4 linked regions of the Drosophila melanogaster genome follow. Changing the gene in region 4 together with the main gene of any one other region gives a genetic interaction. Each region holds a gene or a part of one and is shown on either strand. Other genes may lie near its edges. The genes, in order: fra, Abl, Fmr1 and Dscam1.

Evidence for each region.
Region 1: of Dscam1 (region 4) and fra, changing one enhances a phenotype caused by changing the other (phenotypic enhancement), as found in Drosophila melanogaster (one study listed by BioGRID).
Region 2: of Dscam1 (region 4) and Abl, changing one suppresses a phenotype caused by changing the other (phenotypic suppression), as found in Drosophila melanogaster (one study listed by BioGRID).
Region 3: of Dscam1 (region 4) and Fmr1, changing one suppresses a phenotype caused by changing the other (phenotypic suppression), as found in Drosophila melanogaster (2 studies listed by BioGRID).

Annotation. Positions count from the first base shown.
Region 1 is NT_033778.4:12,527,144-12,532,089, forward strand, and holds the start of fra (frazzled), read left to right. Parts: upstream 1-1,909; 5' UTR 1,910-2,583; coding exon 2,584-2,683; intron 2,684-4,946.
Region 2 is NT_037436.4:16,644,854-16,649,452, forward strand, and holds the start of Abl (Abl tyrosine kinase), read right to left. Parts: upstream 3,030-4,599; 5' UTR 2,291-3,029; coding exon 1,957-2,290; intron 1-1,956. UniProt on the Drosophila melanogaster protein: Arm and Abl proteins function cooperatively at adherens junctions in both the CNS and epidermis; critical for embryonic epithelial morphogenesis regulating cell shape changes and cell migration.
Region 3 is NT_033777.3:10,107,065-10,111,959, reverse strand, and holds the start of Fmr1 (fragile X messenger ribonucleoprotein 1), read left to right. Parts: upstream 1-1,838; 5' UTR 1,839-2,144; intron 2,145-2,351; exon of another isoform or gene 2,352-2,436; intron 2,437-2,736; exon of another isoform or gene 2,737-2,888; 5' UTR 2,889-2,984; intron 2,985-3,048; 5' UTR 3,049-3,070; coding exon 3,071-3,265; intron 3,266-3,617; exon of another isoform or gene 3,618-3,730; intron 3,731-4,480; coding exon 4,481-4,530; intron 4,531-4,895. UniProt on the Drosophila melanogaster protein: Polyribosome-associated RNA-binding protein that plays a role in neuronal development and synaptic plasticity through the regulation of protein synthesis of mRNAs.
Region 4 is NT_033778.4:7,378,855-7,383,454, forward strand, and holds the start of Dscam1 (down syndrome cell adhesion molecule 1), read right to left. Parts: upstream 3,016-4,600; 5' UTR 2,617-3,015; intron 1-2,616. Other genes in the region: cos (costa), read right to left, coding at 4,343-4,600. UniProt on the Drosophila melanogaster protein: Cell surface receptor involved in guidance and targeting of growing nerve axons.

The sequences.
Region 1 (4,946 bases), 5.1 Mb from region 4:
GTTGTTGTTCTCTCTCACCGGTTTGCTGGCCATTGTTGTTGCTGCCAGGCGTCGCAATTTGCTGCCTGCGTCGCCTGTCGCCGCCAATTAAGTCGGGAAATGGCCAACTATTTTAGCCGACTGACAATCAAAGTGATGGAAATGCATACTAATAATAGTAAGCCCTGATTAATCAGGTTTTTATTAACAGAAAGTACTTTAAACTCTATCTATATACCTAATTTAAAATCAAACTTAATTGTATCCCTTCCAGAATATCATAACTCATGAAGTATCACTTAAGCAAATATTCTGAACTTCCTAATGGCTCTGGATTTAAAATCTTTGCCTTTATTAGTTCTACCCAAGTTAACAACTTTCTTAGGAAGCGATTTGCAGTGAAAGTCTTTAGTGCCATGAACAATGGATTTGCCAAGTTAAACGAGAGAACCTTTTATATATTTAAGCAATTTCCATGTCCGAAGTGCATGCCTTAATTTATATATTACCACACACAGGCTTAATTCACTTAAGCGCCTTTTCGTGTCGGCACCTAAAAGCTTTGAATGGGAAGAACATCCGAATCAGAATCCAAATCACCATCAGTCGCCGCGTTTTGTGGGTGCCCAGAAGTTGCCCAACTTCAAGCTGGCATAACAGATACAGGGATGCGGATGCACATACAGATACGGATACTCGAAAGACTCGGTAGCTCGGATTAATTAAAACTGAAAATTGCAGTGGCGTCTGGTGGGGAAATGTGTGTGCTGCTTTTAAAAAACCTGCAATTAGCAGCGAAAAATCTCCGGTTCTGGTAATTTGATCCAAGTCCTCGAAACTTGACCCACATTTTGTGGGCATACGGATGATACGCTAATGAAGGGAATTTCATTTCACTTATTTTTGCGGCCTGCCAGTCCAAAAAAAAATGCCTCCCCCTTCTTTTTCACCCCGTCGTTTATTTTTACGACGCTTTCGCTTAAGCGCTGGCATTTAATGTGAAATTTATCATTTCAACGCCACGCCCCCCACCCCACGCCCAACCAACAATTTGTCGGCCTTGGTCGGATTTTTTATTGCGTTCACATTTCTCCGAGGCGAAAAGTGATATGTTCATTTTTTCAGCCTTTAAAGTTCCTGCTGGTTGCTGGTCGGCGCTTTTAAAATGAGTGTTCCTTTGCCACATGCATTTTTTTAGAGCCACAACTTTTAACCACAACCTGTCTGCACGTCGGTTGCTCGGGGGTGGCAATCACTGGCCAACTGCAAAAAATGCATTTCAAACAGGAGATTTTCCCATTGGTTTGAGCATAAAGTTTTCTGTCAAAGGATTTTTCTGAAATAACGTACTTATGAACAAGATCAGTCGGGGAGAAAGTTGAGGTACATTTCGAAAGCCATTAAAATTTTTAAGTATTAATCTCCTGTGACTCTCATAAAAAGAAATTTGTGTAAAGTAAAACCGAAAATATGTGAAATTTTAAAATATTTAAAAATATAGGAGCAAACCTTTTGAATACCGATATAAATTCATATGATTAATATCCCAACTGCAAATGTCCTCGAAATAATAATGTTTGTTGCTTTTGATGTGTAATTGACTTTGGTCCTAACTTTTGAATTACGCGCCATTTGGAATAAATTGCTCAACTGACCTTAACGCGTTTTTGGTGATGTGCACTCCAGTATCGATTGCTTTTCAATGTCGATGACAGTCATTAAAATATATTATGATTACGTTAGTAAGAAAGCTGAGCACTGATTACTACGTTACTTATGGAAACCCCTTTGTAAAATGATAATGAATTTATAATATGCAAGAATAACATGGTGCGAAAGTCATTTCATCGTCATCGATAGTAGTGAGACCATCGATAAGCATCGATAGCGGATGTGTTTTCGCATCACCCGCGCAGCTAGGGATTTTTTCGACAGTTTCGGATTTTTTTTCGGTCGTCGAGGTCGTTGCGCGCATGTATACTCTTTAGTGGCGAGAAAACGCGTTTGCCAATAGTAAAATCCATCGCAAAGAGGTAGAAAATTAAAATAAGTGCAGCCAAAATCGAAAATAAATGAAAAAGGCACTCAAATAATACATACAGCCGCTGAAAATGTGTTTTAAATAGAACTGCAGCTGCAAGTCCTGATGCCTGCCGAAGGTTAGAGCGAGACAACGCTACTTACTCGAGTGTGTGTGCGCAATTTGTTGATAGTATTTTCTGTTGTTGTAAAAATGCCCCGCTTGCAAGCGTGCAATAACAGCAACAACAAGACCTGAAACAACAACAATAGGCGGCGAATGCCGGCAAAACAAAAACGCGTAAACGATTGATGCGAATAGCGTAAAACAAGAGAATCGAAAGCAATAATCGCCCAAGAATACACAACAAAAGTGGAGTGAGTAAAAGTCGCGTGTGAGTGTTTGCGTCGCGTGTATGTGTGGGTGCAAAGGATACAAATAGAAGGCGCAATCGGCGATTGGCGGGTATCAAGAGCCAAAATGTTGTAAACAAATCGCAAAAGTCCAAATAAACCTGAGCCATTCGAATTACCTCCGATCGCAAACGACGGTTTCCAGCCAAATCAGCGAAAAGCAAACAGAATATGGCCATCACAACAAACAGAAGCAGCAGGACTTTGTGGAACTGGCTGCTCAGCAGTTGTCTCATATTCCAGCTGATTGGCAGCAGTTTGGCAAGTCAAGGTGAGAACTTCAATCTGAAATGATAAATATTTTGCACCAAAGTGCCGTAAGAGGGCTTTATAAAAATGTAGATAGTTTCTATCTTTCGCTGTGCAGGTTGTCAATTTATAATTTTAAACCAAAGACCCATGAAATCCAAGCTTAGTTGCTTACACAGAAAGACATTATCAAATTGTGTACATATATAGATTATTAAAGAGATTATAAAAGATATAAAAAAAATTTTATGAACATGTGATTGAACTTTAATTCTTGGGCTGCGCCTTAATTGCCTTCTGACAGGAGGAAATAATCTAAAACAGTGTATAAATTCGGTAGATTAGATGAGTTTATATCACTTCAATAAATATTACGATTAAATAGTACGAATAGATGAACTACGTGGTTTGTCAGCCCAGTAATTTTTAGTTCACTACACTCATCCACCATATTTTATGACACTATCTGTTACTTTACTCTTCGTACAATTCCCTATCTATGTTGTGTATTCGGGTACCATAAAGTTCGATATCTGTATTTTAACAAATATGAATGCAAGTACAGTTTTGGCGACTGGATGTCTGGTCGACGTGCCAGAAAGCAGGCATTGGGACCCACAAAAAAAAAAAAGCCTCATGTGCGAAAGGTGATGTCAACGGCGAACTGATCCGATAAGCTGTCATATTTCGCAACTCGCGCTCTTTTTGCACTCGTAAAATTGAGGTACTTTCAAAAACCCTGCCCTATTCCATCCACATGTGCCAATCACCCGGGGTAATTCACCGTAATTGCTTCCCATCATATCACCTGCAGATAAGAACTCAAAATGGGATGGTTGCGAAACCGATAGTGCTTCAAAACTTAAACATTACTAATGAGCTTCGCTTGAAACGAGATAAACTAAACACTGCACAACATGAATTGAAAACCAACGCACTTGTTTGCGATTATTTGAGCCAAAACAAACACGATTTCCTGTGAAAAAGTATTCTGAAATCGAAGAAATAGAATCCAACAAAATGGTAGCCGTAAGAGTCATTATCATTAGCTCAAAGCCAGGGAACAAGTGATCTTAGGGGATCAGGTAGGTAAGCGCAGGTAGAACCAGTGCAGCCCAAAATGCAATTAGGTTTTAGGATCAGGCACAGTTTCAGTTTTAGGTCCCAGAAGAAGATTACCCAAGATCGGTGGGCAGCTGCACAATGCATCAATTGATTGATTTGGTTTGAAAACTAAGCCAGGGGTGGCTTAGAGGCTTATCATATTTCCATTTTCGGCTGGAGAAATAAACAATCGCGTAAAATGAGGGAGGGATAATGGAAATCCCCGCAAAAGGCGCAAATAATGCAAACAAATTAAATGTCCTGCCGTGAATCTCGTCTCTGCGCCATCTTCGAAACGAGAAAGAAAAGCCACCCCTAAAAGTGAAAAGTGTCCTGGAAAAACGGGGAGCCGCCTTATCAGCTGCAAAATTTATCAACGCCAGCTCCAAGACAGCCCGAAAAAGGACCCCAAAAAAAGTGCGGTCGTAAAAAATTGTCGGGGCATGTCATATGCAAATGGAATGAAAAATCTTTGAACAAATTTTTAGGTCATGGCATGTCATAAGTCGCAGGACTTAATGCCAGATTTAATTAAAAGCATTCCCTCACATAACTTCAAGCTTTATGTGGTGGGTATGTAATTAAAAAAAAAAGAAAACAACTTTACTTACATGGGTGTAACTAGCTGAAAAGAATTGTGTGACAACAATGGACTCACGTGGCTTCACGACCACTTAGTACCGTATAATAATGCATCAATTAAGGTTGATAAGATACTATGAAAGTAAGACAAAGTTAGACATTTCCGTGTTAGTTAAATTAAATTATAGAAAAGCATTTTAATAATTTATTTTGATCTTTAGATCTATGTGGCCTTAAGACACCCTTGTGGTTTTTTCTATCTTGCTAAACAAACTAGTTGATTTTATAGAAGGATCCTACTTATACCGTGTACGAAAAACTCACGTGCGAGGTCCTGTTCCCATTTTCGTGCTTATTTGTGGCGCTCTGTGTTTTCACTTTCCTGGTCATATTTCCTCGCTCTTTAGCCCGTGAATTGTGGCAATTGTTTGATGTTGTCCTGGGCGAGTCGCCTCACCCTGGCGTTCACTGGCTTTTTCCCGTGGCCAGGAGCACATTTAGCCGCATTACGTGATACAATATATGAGTGACATGTTATTCTAATTTCGCACCCCTTTTCATATTCCTGGACACATTTTTTCCGCTCGTTCCGAGGGTGC
Region 2 (4,599 bases), on a different chromosome or scaffold from region 4:
AAGAAAAATCTACAGCTTATTGTAAATCATCTGGGAAAAGTGGCTCAGCTTGGAGTGCCAAGGAAAAATCAATACTTTGGCCAAGCCATTCGTTTGGGAGATGAATAGTTTGCAAAAGGAAGTATTTACATCAAAAGTTAAAAAGTAAAATAATAAAGGATTAAATTTCAATTTTCGAACTTAAGCAAATTTATGGATTTAATACATTTAGGAACAGATTGTCGCGCGTGTAAATATCAAAACTCGGAAAAGTCCACTTTCAGTTTGAAACAGCTGTTGCGAAAATGGCTTGCAATTGTCAGGGGAATAAGGCAACACGATTTCAAGTTAAAAAACTACCTTACTATTAATACGACCCTCGTCATGTATTCTCATACATAGTTATGCTTTTTGTTAAAAAAAAAGTTCTACCACTGAGTCTGCGTAACTATTATAACCTGACAAATGTTTTTCCGGTAGTCTTGAGAAAATCCCGAATGCCACCCGATTGTGGGTCCTATTGTGGTAGGACTTCGTCGACATGGACATAAAAAAGCTATTAGAAACGGCAAATGTCTCCCAATAAGTGGGTGTGCGGAAAATGCGGAAACGGGGAGGATGTAAAGAAAAAATTATGCAGCTTGGCAGGGCAAATAATGGAAAAGTATTAGACAAAAAAATGAGGCAAATAAAAATGTGCGTGAGTGCGTGAAGGGCAGGAAAAATGCAAGGGGAAATGCGGAAAAGTGGAGGAAATGGCAATATGTCAGCGGGGGTGGGATAACGGTGTTGTGGGTCGCAATTTCAACCACTGTGCGGGTGGCAGGGATAAGGGTGCCACGAGGAAGGCCGAAGGATAAAGGATGATGGAGAGCACGAATGCGGATTGAAACCGCCCCAAGCAGCACAAAAACAACAGCAACGCGTGCTGCTCTCTCTCTTTTCTCTTCTCTCCTTCACTTTTCTTTCTCATTCATTCTCCTTCTCTCCAGTAAACAAAAGCAGCGGAAAAGCAACAACAAGTATGAAACTAGCCGGCAATAACAACAATAATTTCCTATATAATCGGAAGAAATGGAGGAAAAAAGAAATTGGCTCAATTGGAAAGCAGCGTATATAGAGGAAGGGCGGGGATCATAAAGAAGGAGAGAGGGGGAAAGGGAAAGCCGAGTGGACTGCACTTTATGAACAATAAATACAACACTGTGCAGCCCAAACTGGCAGATAAATCAAAACTTACATGATATTTACAAAAGAGATTTAATGGCAAGAGCACGCTTAAAAAAGCATTTTTTTATTGAAAGTACCCCCATTGAATAAGTTTTTAGTTACTGATTTCTTGAATGTCCTTAAAAACTGTTGTATGGAATATCAAAAGATTTCATCACGAATTGAAATGATTGTGGTGGATGTGAGATAACACAACTCTGAGCAATTGGCAATACAGCAACAACAATTTCCATGTATAATAAGAAAAGTCACAATACTATGATGGAATTTACACCTGAGTTTGGAGGCTGCATGCAATTTTTTACAATTAGTGTGTAAGTGAATGGGACCTCCAAATGTATGCATGTTTGTGCATCCTCTGACTTTTATATGTATGTTACACAACACTTATACAGATCGATTTGGTCCAGATGATTTCTACGATTGATGCCTTTTTAACTCAAACTACAATGTGCAAGAAAATAATTCTAAGATCCAATGTAAAAGAAGAAACACCAATGAGAAATAAGTCAAGCTTACAGAAATCGAAACACAAAATGATCAAACCACTAAATAACTTCGAATAGAAAACAAAATTTTAGTGCACACCTAATTTTATAAAAACGATTTTGATTGAGCGTGCACTATGTACAGACGTTTTTCGTTTAATTTGACTTAACAAGGCTTTCAAATTTTGAAAATATGCTTTTTGCTCTGTGTACTTAGCATGCTTTCGATGCCTGTTTTCCAACACTTGCAGGAACTTACCGTTATGCTCGGTGAATATGTTGAGACCCACGGTGGGATTGCAGCGTGCATCCTTGTGTCCGCCACTACGCTGGCTCAGCCCCGATCCGGATCCGCCACCGCCTCCGCCCGATCCGCTGCCACTGGCCACGCCGGAGGACGAGGACTTGATGCGGGAGCCACGGAGCGTGGAGCCCCCGCCGAGGGGGGCGCTGCTGACGCCGCTGGAACTGGAGATGCAGTGGGGGGAAACGGAGGCCACTGGGCTGCTGGAGAGGCCGATGCAGCTGACGGGGGCCCCCGAGCCGCCTCCTCCCGAGTGGGCGCCCCTGTCCTTGCCCTGCTGAGCCCCCATTTGCCAGTGGGTGGTTGGGTGGTTTTTCGCTCTTGCGCAGCAACAACAACTTGTACACTTTTCTCTCTCTTCTCTCGGCTCCTGCTGCTACGGCTTATTCGCTTACTACTACTACTTATTATTTGCTTTGCTTTTCTTGTTATATACTTCAGCTTTAACTCTTCTCTCTTGGCCTTTTGCTCAATTATTTGCCGTTTTGCCTTTTGCTTTGCTTTAATTTATTTCACACACACACACGCACACATTTTTCTTTCTCTTTCTGCGTTTTTGGAGTAGACAAAAAAGATTGGAGACACTCACGCACACACAGAAGTACACACGCACGGAGGAAAAAGGAAGTTTGCGATTTATCTGATTTGTTGTTCTAGTGGCCGCTCAGGTGCAATTGCGAATTTGCAGCATGTTGGTAAAATGTTGTGTCGGCAAACTTCTTGTCGACGGCTGGGAGGCTGGGTGAGCTTAACTGGCGAGGGGGGTCTCAAAAACACGCCCTGAAAATGCACTTTGTCTTGCGCCTCCGCCTCTGGCTTCACCTCTCTCTCTTGCTTACGCTCGCCTGCTCTGTTTTTTACGGTTTAATTGATCCGCAGGCTGATCCGCTGAACATGGCAAATTAATCGGTTTTCGCGACGATATAGCTCTATCTGATCTGCTAGCGTTGCTTGCTGATTTATCTACATCTGTGCATTTTTTCCACGCACCGCGACGGATCGAATTGGAATCCAACTTGCACTCGTGTGACCGCTTGTCGGTCGTTTAAACATACCCTACTTGGCAGCATACCGATAGACGTATCGATATTGATAATAAATGCTTAGTACTTACGAACGCGTTGGCAGCGCTAGTTTGGTAAGAAACTCGGCTAATGCAATATGATGGGTGCGCGACACGGACTGGTTGGGTGGTTAACTTAGCTTAGTAAGCCAGTGCTTAAAAACTCCATGATTGTGAACACTAATTTTTGGTTGTTCAAAAAAAAATTAAATTCAAACGTTTAAAACACATAATTTGAATTAAAAGAATCTTGATATAGCTTTCTAGGAAAAGTTTATTCTCTTTAGATTTTCAATGCAATGCAACTTATAACATTATCTTTAATTTTTCATGGATACACTTCGAATTTTTTCGACTATTGCGTCAACCCTAGTTTAGTTTATTGATTTTAAGAGAAAACTGACTCAAATCAAAATGTAATTGACATTTAAAAACATCGAATAATCAAGCTACGGTTTTTATAATATGCCTTTAGATGTATTCATAAATTCCCATTTAGCCCGACTAATAAATACAACTGCAATACTTTCCATCCTTTTCCGTTTGTTACGTTTTATTTATCCGTTGGTTTTGTTTAGCATTCTCAATCTTTAGTGTTCTTGCTTAGTTATTATTTAGTATGTATACCCGACAGAAATTTCAAGTTTGTTCGTTTCAATTTCTCTCTCCTGCTAGAGTTCAGTATCAATCGATCCTTCTCTCCATTCACACGATCCTCCTTCAGCTTCTGCTCCGATTTCATTTTCAGTTACATTTTCCTCGCTTACACTAAATTAACTTTTCAAGTAGGACTTTTGCTTTTCATTTTCTCGGTTTTGCTCTTTCACATGCGATCTCTTCTGTTCTGTTCGCTTACAAGTATAAATATAATTTAATTTTTCTCTGGTTATTATTATTTTACGTTCTTTTTTTTTTTTTTTTTTGTTACGTTCAAGGACTTTCTGTGGCTTTGTTAAGTTACCAAAAAGCAGCAAGAAATTTGAAGGAATATTCAAATGCATTTAACACAGGTTAACTAAATAAATGCCTTCCCCTAACAGAATCGAACTTTTTGTATTGCAGCATGACTGACACACTGGTTAAAACTATACTGACTGACTGGAATATATGTTAAAATTTCAAAAATATTTTATTGGTGACTATGACAATGCTTCGACTTAATCCAGTCAGTCAGCAACATTTTATCAGACGTCTTTTCGACTGTTATAAATATTGTTTGTTCTTACAGATTTGAAAACAGTTTATTACTTTACAATAACAATTTGCGCTCTGGATCTTGGAACAATAGACTAACTTAGTGTTTTGTTATTGGTTGGTATTCCGTTTTCACGTGTTTAATATTCCGTTAATATAGGTTTTTATAAATATATATGCGTATAGACTTAGAAGTACAAAGTTCTCAGACCCCAACTACAAGTGATTTTAGGAAAACAGTTCTCCAGTAAATCAAATTCAATTTCAACCAAAAATGCCTGTCGTTCAAGTATCGCAAACTGTGCGATATCCAAACTGAAGGCAGGAGTCTGATCCTTCTT
Region 3 (4,895 bases), on a different chromosome or scaffold from region 4:
AAATAATTAGCAAGGGAATGATACTACCTGGTTTTTTAGAAGGATGATCTCATCTTTTTTAACCATTAAACAAAAGAAAAAATAAATTTAACTTTCGTATTAAGGGTATTGTTGCTCAGAATTTGCTCCAGCAATTTGAGAATGACTAAACTTATTGAATTTTATTTCTATTAATATTCACACTTATGCGCGAATTCTTTATGTTACTATAATTACAAATGCAGTGAACACCTTTTATAAGGAATGTATTATCTTATTTATTATTGAAAAATTTACTTGCCCGAATATTCCTCGCAGTGTATTTTACGTCGAGAGGAAGTGACGTACCTGTCACGATCGAGATTGTCACATTTTGGCAAATAAATTTCACTTGATCCCTCCACGCGGTTAAAATTAGAATTTAAATTAATTTAGTGCCCGAAGTGACCAATTGTTGCACTGCAATTGCACCCGAACCGAATCGTTTCAAATCCGATCGCGAAACGAACATAATGCTAATTGAGCGGGACAAATTCTGGGGTGCGAGCGAGATGGCTAGATGCGAGAGGAGGAGGGGCTGTCGTCGCTGAACTTTCGCTCTTTTGTTGGCCATGTCGACGTCATTAAAGTGCAGTTAATGTGCCAAAAGGTAGAACAAAAGTCAATGTCAAACGGCAGCTGCTCTCATTTTCCTCGGCAGTGGAAAAGCGGTTGAAATAGGGGTGGTTAACTGGTGGGCAAGGGCGCGGGAAAATCAAATCAGAAACTGCATTTCCGCAACAAATCGCCGCTTGACAGTAATTACCGTCAACACGAGCGGTAATTTATGACTATCGAATTGCGAATCTTGATACCCTGTATGGAAAATTGTTATGGGATTTTAACGGAATCTGCCTGCAAATAGGCTGGGAAATGCGAAAATGGCGAGTAGAGGGTATTGCCTTTGCACAGAGACACAGAATTTCCAACTATTCACAGGCATATAAAGGATTTAATGGTTCCCATTAACTGACTGGCCATGAATTTTTATAATTTGTTGGCCCATTTTCACCACACAAATGCCTAAATGGCATGCGATTTAAATACAGGCGAGCTTTTAGACTTGCCCACTTATTAATCAAGAGTAAAGTTCACAAATATAATTCATAAATCTTATTAAGTAGTTCCAAGCAAATATGTGGTTTCATCCTAAATGGAGTACTCCGTCAGATTTCTGCTGTCCGATCCGCTGAAAATTGATGGAAATTGGATTACAAATAGACCGCACTGCACCTTTATCGGCCACTCATAATCAAATGCGTTTCATGAATGGAAGGGCAAAATAAGAAAAAAAAAATAGTAAAAAGCAAATTCAACAAGCGTGTTGACAAAAAGCGCCAGCGACGTCACGCGATTTGGGGGCAATCAAAGGGGCAAATAAAACACCGCATGTGGCAAATTGCGCCCACTGTTGACCCCAGCAGTCGTTGCAATTACATAGACAATTACATTAACATTAAGGCGTAGTGGTCAGCAGTTCTGCAAATTAAAATCGAATCGAATCAATTGAAAAGCCACCAAACATGCGAATCAATCTGCTGATGGGCTAGCAATTCAATTACGTTGTTAGCAGACAGCAAACTAAGTGAGCAGTCAATAGTGTTCGGTTCGTCGACTTCATTTAAATTTTAAATGATCTTATCAGCTTTTTGAATTTCGAATCGTAACCGCCTAGCGCGCTTAAAATACAACCCTGTTTATTGTGAACCCACAACTTATAGTCACTCTGGCAAGGCCCGGTGAGCTGTCACTTAGCAGCCTTGCCACTTTACTGTCAGATCATTTTTCTCTCGCTTTCAAACAAGCCCTGTGTTATAGAGCACAAATCATTTATCAAAAATTTCGTATCTTATTTTCACAAATTTATCGCTTGGGCCAAACACGCCCGAAATCTAGCCAAAACCATCCGAAGTGGCCAGTAACGCGCGCCGATTGTAAACGGGTGGCAACTCCAGTAGAACGTTGCCGAGCTGCGAAAGTGTGCAAAAGCAAAACGAAGAGAACGCAGCGCAGCCGAAAAAAATTGAAGCAGCACTGCACGCGATATATTTTGTATTTTCAAAGGTTAAAGCCGCATTCACAGGCATCCGCCGAGGGCAAACGAAGTGCAAAAGTGCCGGCCAGCAGTAAGTTTTCAAAAATTTGCAGTCTCTTGTGTATTACAGCCGCAAAAAGTGTTGAAAAAATTTTGCAAGAACCGAAAAAAACCAAAAAATTTTGCACATCGTCGGCGGCTGCGACGTCGACGACAGCAGCGACGCCGCCTCTCTGCCGGCAGCGGCAGCAAAAGGGAGCAGCTGAAAGAGGAAAACCGATAAAATACAAAAAGAAAAGTAGAGAACGAGAACGAGAAAAACGGCGAGCGGCTACGCAACGCTGATGTTTCTTCTCTTTGAGAAAAGCGAAAATCGAAAGCAAGTGTGGAAATTATGTGTAAATTCGATATGTAAATTCGGCATGTGCCGTTCGTAGTGTGCGTACAAATTCTTATTGGAAAAGCGTGTTCATCGGTGTGAACGAACGAACGAAGCATTTCGGCGGCGAGAGAGAGAGAAAAAGAGAGCGAGAGCGCACACGCTTGGTGGTGGTCATGTGTGTGTGAGGCGGCGGGCTCACACACACAAAGGGAGAGAGACAAAGAAGAAGAGGAAGCACTGCGCTGCTGCGCTGCCGGCAAAGCCGACGTCGCTGCCGGCTTCGCCGCCAGCTGCATTTAGTGTTTAGCTAGGAATTATCTGGCCCCCAAAATAACTTCAAAATTTTCTTCAACTATTTTTTTTATTAGTGTGTCAATATATAGTCTCCCTCTCCAGATACAAAAATTCAAAAATACCAAAAACAAAACCATTCCATATTATTATTGATTACAGGCAACATTTGAAGCAGCAGCCGCCAAGCAAAAGACTGATTTGAGTACAAGGAACTAGAAGCAGGAACGCGAGGTTTCTGCCACTGCACACTGAATTGTGAGCATACCCACCCATACCTAGCTATATCTATAGCCCTAATATCTCCATTCTTCCCCCTCAGGAGCCCCAGATAACGCGGCAAACTGCAGTCGACGGGGAAAAGTCGGGAGTTGAAGGCTGGGCAGCATCAGCATCAGCAGCAGGAGGGACAGGGACGGACGGCGAAGAACCACCAGAACCAGAACCAAAACAAAGCGGATAAACCAGGAGGCACTACGTCTGGCGATATGGAAGATCTCCTCGTGGAAGTTCGGCTCGACAATGGCGCCTACTACAAGGTGAGTTGATTCAATTGGTGGAATAAAAATGTTGGTAAGGGGGTGACAAAAAAAAAGAAGGAAAAACAGAGGAGCAAGGAGTTGGGGCAGCAGCTGCCTCAGTTTCTAATTTCGTGGATTTTAGCTTTATTTCTATTAATAAACAGCAACATTTTGAGTGGAGTCTCGACATCATCGCCACCACCACCACCACTACCACTACCACTACTACACTAATACCAGCACCATCGCCAATCTGCATACACCAACGCACTCACGCACACTGCGTTGTGGGGGTGCCGACGTCGACGTCGATGTCGATGTCGACGCGGACCGCGCCGCCCACTGCGCTGCCCACTGACGTCGTCGTGCATTCGGTTTTGTTGTTTTGATGATTTCCCTTTCTTGTCGTTGCAATTTATAAAGATAAGATCCGATTAAACCATCTTATATCGCGGTTAAGTGATTTTCGCGGATAGATTACAGGTATACGAGGTTGTTAGATCTCGAATCATTAGTCTTATGAACGAAGTTCAGTCTTAAATCCCATTCATAATGCTAGCTTTTGATGTGTTTTATTGTTCACTGTTTAAACAAATTCAGCAAAAATGTATGCTTATAGGCTTAAATTTTCCAATGATAATATAGACATTTTGGAAACCAGATAACAGTGCACTTAAGAATATTCTTATACTTTCAATTATTGTTCTTAGTACTTATCCCCATCATTAGCTAACCTATTCTGGAAACCTTCTGGATATGTATAGTAAGGTAGTGAATACTTTGCATAGCGTTGCCTTTGATTTCAGTGCTTGGAATCAAAACAAGGGCAATGCACATAAACACACTCGACTAGAGCGACTTCCCTGATGCTGATGATTCAGCTGTCGGCTGTTTGCATTTCGGATAAGGTTCTACGACTACTCGCTTATCGGAGATATACGGTTTCCCTCGCTAATGCCATTGCAATTCTCGATTTCACAATGGGACGGGATTGGGGGGACTATCGTAAAAATATATTTTATATACTTATGCATATACACACATCCGAATGGAGGTATATCATAGGCAATGGCCACATTAATGACACACATTTTTCTCTCTCTACTCCTATGCCTTCCGATGCTGGCCCTGTCAATGCTCTTGTATTTCATCCGTTTGCTGCCTGCCTGCCGCCAACAAAAAACTACAACTGCAAACTAAAAACTACGACGACGACGACAACAACAACAACAGGGCCAGGTGACAGCTGTCGCCGATGATGGCATCTTTGTGGATGTGGACGGGTAAGTTTGTTTAAACAAACAAATCTGCGAACAGGGCAAACAACAACAACTAGAGCGTATTTTCTAACTAATTTGCAACGATTAATACAATCAGAGCTGCAGCAGGAGCAGCAACAACCACCGACGCGACTTCTTGGCATCCGAATTAGAAATTAGAGATTCTGGGCACGCATCATTTGTGTCGTCCGCCATCCGCCAAACCACTTCCCGCCGAATCCCCTACTGCGGACTCACTAATTTGGCGCAATTTGTTAAACGCCAGACGCCGCTGCAGCAGTTTCTGTTGCTATTAGTTGATAAAAAAGAAAAAAAAAATGAGCCAAATCAAATAAAACTGCTGACTGACAGACTGACCAACGCCATCC
Region 4 (4,600 bases):
TTTTCAATTGGCCTAATGAACAGACTGTAGCTTGCAGCAGGGAAACAGCTGCATCAAAGGCTCTGGGGTGGCCAAACTATTCCATCAGGGGTGTGGCATCAAACCCACGAGTTTATTAACCGAAAAATTCCCTTTTAAGCTGACTCTACTAAGTATTCCAGAAAAGTTTAGAATTAGAGAGAGGAATGCGGATGGTGGAAAATAGTTATGTATATTAATTATTTTTGAAATGTATTTGCTAATCAAAAACACACTTTGAAGACGAAGAAGTTTATCCACATATAGAAATGGTTGCAAATTTTAATTGAATCACGTTCCTTTAAGAATCATGTGCATTTTTCTAATCCATCAAGTATATCAATGAATTTAGATTTTTGTTTAAAAAATAAATAGATAAATCATAAATGGAAAAGTAATTTGCCCAAAATTGCCGAACAGCACGTAAATATTCGAGTAATGACTCATCAATACATCTCTCCTTGAGCTTTCAGCTTAGAAATTGTTCGCTTCCCATACCGACAACTGATGCTCGACTGAAGCAATTTGGAAAACATCTGGTAATCAGTCAACGGATCCAGGCATCCGTATAGGCAACATATGTGCGGATACATCTATACCATATACAATGTACCTACATAAAGAGATACAACCCTCGGTGAGCGGATCCGTTTGGTCAATCGCGTGGTAAAATCAACGAATCAAAAGCATTTTAATATTACTCATGCTCGCCTTTCGTATTCTTCTTGTTGCCCCGTCTGGCTGCATGTGTAACTTTAAATTGGGGTGACGAGCCAATAAATTTAGGAAGGGTGGTGCCGCAGGAATGGTCGGATGGGGCACAGTGGGCACTGAGGGCAGTGGCCCAGTGCAGGGTCGTCGGCGGAGGCAGAGGACACACATCCATTGTCCAGAAACGCTGCTGTGACCCATTCGCGCCCAGAGCTTCCGCACTGCGGCCCTAATTGAGATTCAAGTGCTCTCGGCGGCAGTAGAAACAAAAGGAAATATTTATTCGGTCCTTTGTTCACTTTAACCTTTTCCGCTGTGTCATGTTGCTGCCCAAGTGGAAATCAATATTTGCCTTCACAAGCGACCCGATGAGTGCATTCTCATCAAATCGATGAGAGCGGCCAAAGTAAATCTGTTTAACCACCAGCGTGCTGTGTATAAATTAGTTAGTGGGTGGAGTAACCATCACTAAAACAACTTAGAACTTATCTGAAATGTGTGTGAATAAAATGGCACACTATTGGATTTATTTATTGATTTTATTGGTTGCCAAAACTCATTGAGCACTTCGCTCAACGAGTGGAGCACTTTCAGAAAAGCTTATTAACGATTTCAAAAAATGTCCAGGATCTATTCAGTACATTTAAAGGGAGACACCAGTAATTCATGTGGGTAAATAAATAATTAGTTATTGTAAAATAAGTATAATAATTTACATTAAGCGGAGTATCAATGTAAACAGAAATTAAAAAAAATTAAATCAATAGTGCCTAAAATACTATTCAATAATATTACTGCAAGTTCATAGGTGTATAGGTAATTCACTGACTATTTTATTGCTCTGAAAACAGGGAGTCACATGGAAAATTGGCACTGGTCCAACTGGTGGGGAAAACCGCCTAGCAACAGGATGGCGAGCCGACGAAAAACCAGAAAAAGAAGCAGGAAAATAAAAAGTATATCGCCAGCAGACGCAGAAGGAAGCGGAGGAGGAGGGTAGTGCAACACTTGCAAAATCAAATAGTGGAAACTTCAGACACACCAGCAAGGAAAGGACGAAGGCAGCTGCACGGGATTTCAGTGATTTTACAAGCAGGGGATGAAACAACACTAACATCAGGACTCACACACACACACACATGTGCGCTGAAAGGATCGCGACGTATGTGTGCCACATGGAAACTGCGAAGAATTTTAAGAGGTTCTTGAGAATGAAGCGTTTTGAGTAGGGAAAGCTGAAAACTACCTGACGGCGACAAAGGACCAAGGACCTGGCGGCAGGAGGCACAGGTTGCACACACACACACACACACTGACTGACACACACGAATGGACGCACAAGCGAATACAACGGTAATCACAGAGTTGCTTTTCTGCGGTTCCAAGGGCGCATGCGCCGAAAAAAAATCGCTGAAAATTCAGGGACTGCAATTATTTCCTCTAAAACTCGATTTATAAATAAAAAGTAGCATGAAATATATAGAAACTCCCCTACGTACTAAACAAGACATTCGGAAATTTAGTATGAAACTTGTTTGGGAGTCGTAGAACATGCATATTTCCTCCCTCATGGCAGTACATTTTCACACCCTTTTGCAAGTGTGTGTGATGTGATACGGTGCATAAAGTAACCGTTTTTGCATTCCCAAATTGAAAAAACTTAACGTCTGGCGAAAAATCATAAGGAAGACCAAAGACTATTATCATCTAACCGATAAAATATCAACCTACAGCATCCTGCAGTTGATTTCGCAGACTAGCGCTACTCGGTGGGCGTGGGCAGGACTCACGCACACTTCTGCACCCAACCTATACATACACGACGGGCACAAAGAAGTTGCCAGACAACGGTGAAAATTTCCCAACGGTACCGCCGACTTTTCTTACCGTTATTGTTACTGCGGCTGGCCAAATTGTTTTTTAAATGCGATTAATTGTTAACACTCACACACACACACTTGTGAGAGTGGTGGGCTATTTGCAGCAGGGTGCCACTAATCCACGGGGGTGGCGACTCCGCACAAAAGCACGGCACACACAAACACAGATACTTTGCTCTGCTCTTGACTATCTTTCAGATACTTTGCATACTATTATTCACTTTTTTGTAGGGTGGTGCACTAGCACCGCTGCAACCGGTTGGCGGATTGCTAATCGCGTACCGCTGCCGTATATCCGTCTATCCGTACCCGTATCCGTATCGGTGTCCCAAAACAAACGCTCACACGCACACACAAATACTCGCACGCTCTCGCGATTCGCCGACTAGCGCTGAAATCCGGTTCTCGATCGCTCGACGGTCCAAACAAGACTGAATCGGATGCTCAGATACTCGCCATCGGATTTAGATACAACGCTTAAACCGGCGCTCTCTCTCTCTCCCTCTCATCCTCTCTCTTTGCGCTTTCTGTGTGTGTGTGTGTCCGAAGGGGCGATTGTTTGGGAAATTTCTGGGACATTTCTCACCTGTTGCCTTGTGGACTGTGTTTGCTTGGATTTCAGCTGCAAATGTAGAACTTAATTATCTTTATAAGACGATAACTATTTTATTTTGAATATAAAACACTGATTAAACACTGATTGATTAGTTTAGTTTGTATATATTTATTTGCTTAACCAACAATATCCACACAAAGCCATGCCGAGCGATTTGGCGGAATATGTATGCTTACAAATGTGTTTATAATTTTTCACACGCTGATATTGAGGGAACATACATACATTAATATCAATTTAAGTTACTCGGAGTACAGTGCAAACTGCATCTATATCAATGGACAATAAAAAATACGTTGTACACAACCAAACAGTATTGAATTTTAATTTTAAGTTAATGCAAAATGAGTATTGGATTAGCGCAAATACTGCGATTTGAAGCATTTATAAGTTGTACAGAGTAAATGCTTTTGATAGAATATTAAAGGTTAACACTTGGGTATGGAGTACGTATGTTGTAATTGGTATCGAAGGTCAATTAAAATTCGAGGGAAGACACAATAGTGTTTACAACTAAGCTAAAACTAACAAAATCAATTAAAATTAAGTGGTTACCTAATAATTATTGTTATGTACAAGTTAAACAATGCGGAGACTTAGGTCAACACTTTGAGCGAGTTTTGTGTACGGTTTGTCTTGCGAGTATCTTAAGTAGCAGGTCAAGTCTTTACGGTTGAATCTCATGAGGATAGTTACTTTCATATGCTAGGTGTATGTACGTGTGGGGGTTTCTAAAATAAATGCTCCCCAGCTAAAGAGCCGGAATGAGAACCATGTGTTGTAGTCTATTTGTGTCATGACTGTGGACGAAACTTGTTCAGTTCTTGTTACCAGGATCTGAGCTATTGCTTCACACTTAAAAAGATATCGAACTCCAGCCACTTTAATAAGTTAAACGACAAGCAGTAAACTAATAAATTCAAGCTGGTATATATGTCGGACTATTGATTAAAATGTATGCATGTATATGGGAGTAATCTGTTATACATTTTTAAGCATTTTTTTATATTATCGCCTTAATTATTAAAGTGGCTGGATTTCAGCTCATGGCTATTAATTGTATATGGCTATTTGGCTTAACCTTATAATATCGTCCTGGAAATGGTTAAATTCGTATTTAGTTTCGACGACTTGCGTCCTGGATAATTATCTTGTTCTTCTGACGCGTCACTTTCGTGGCCGTCGGAGCTGGCATCAGACGCTTCAGCTGCTCCGGCCTGAAGCTGACCAGGGCCTTGTCCTTCACTTTTCCTACGGCTCCAGTGGTGGTTGTCGACGTAGTGGTTGCCGTGGCCGTGGTGGTTGACTCAATCAGGGCCGTGGATTCCTCGGCCGTGGACCCTGAGGAACCGGCTGCGGCAGCTGACGCATATCT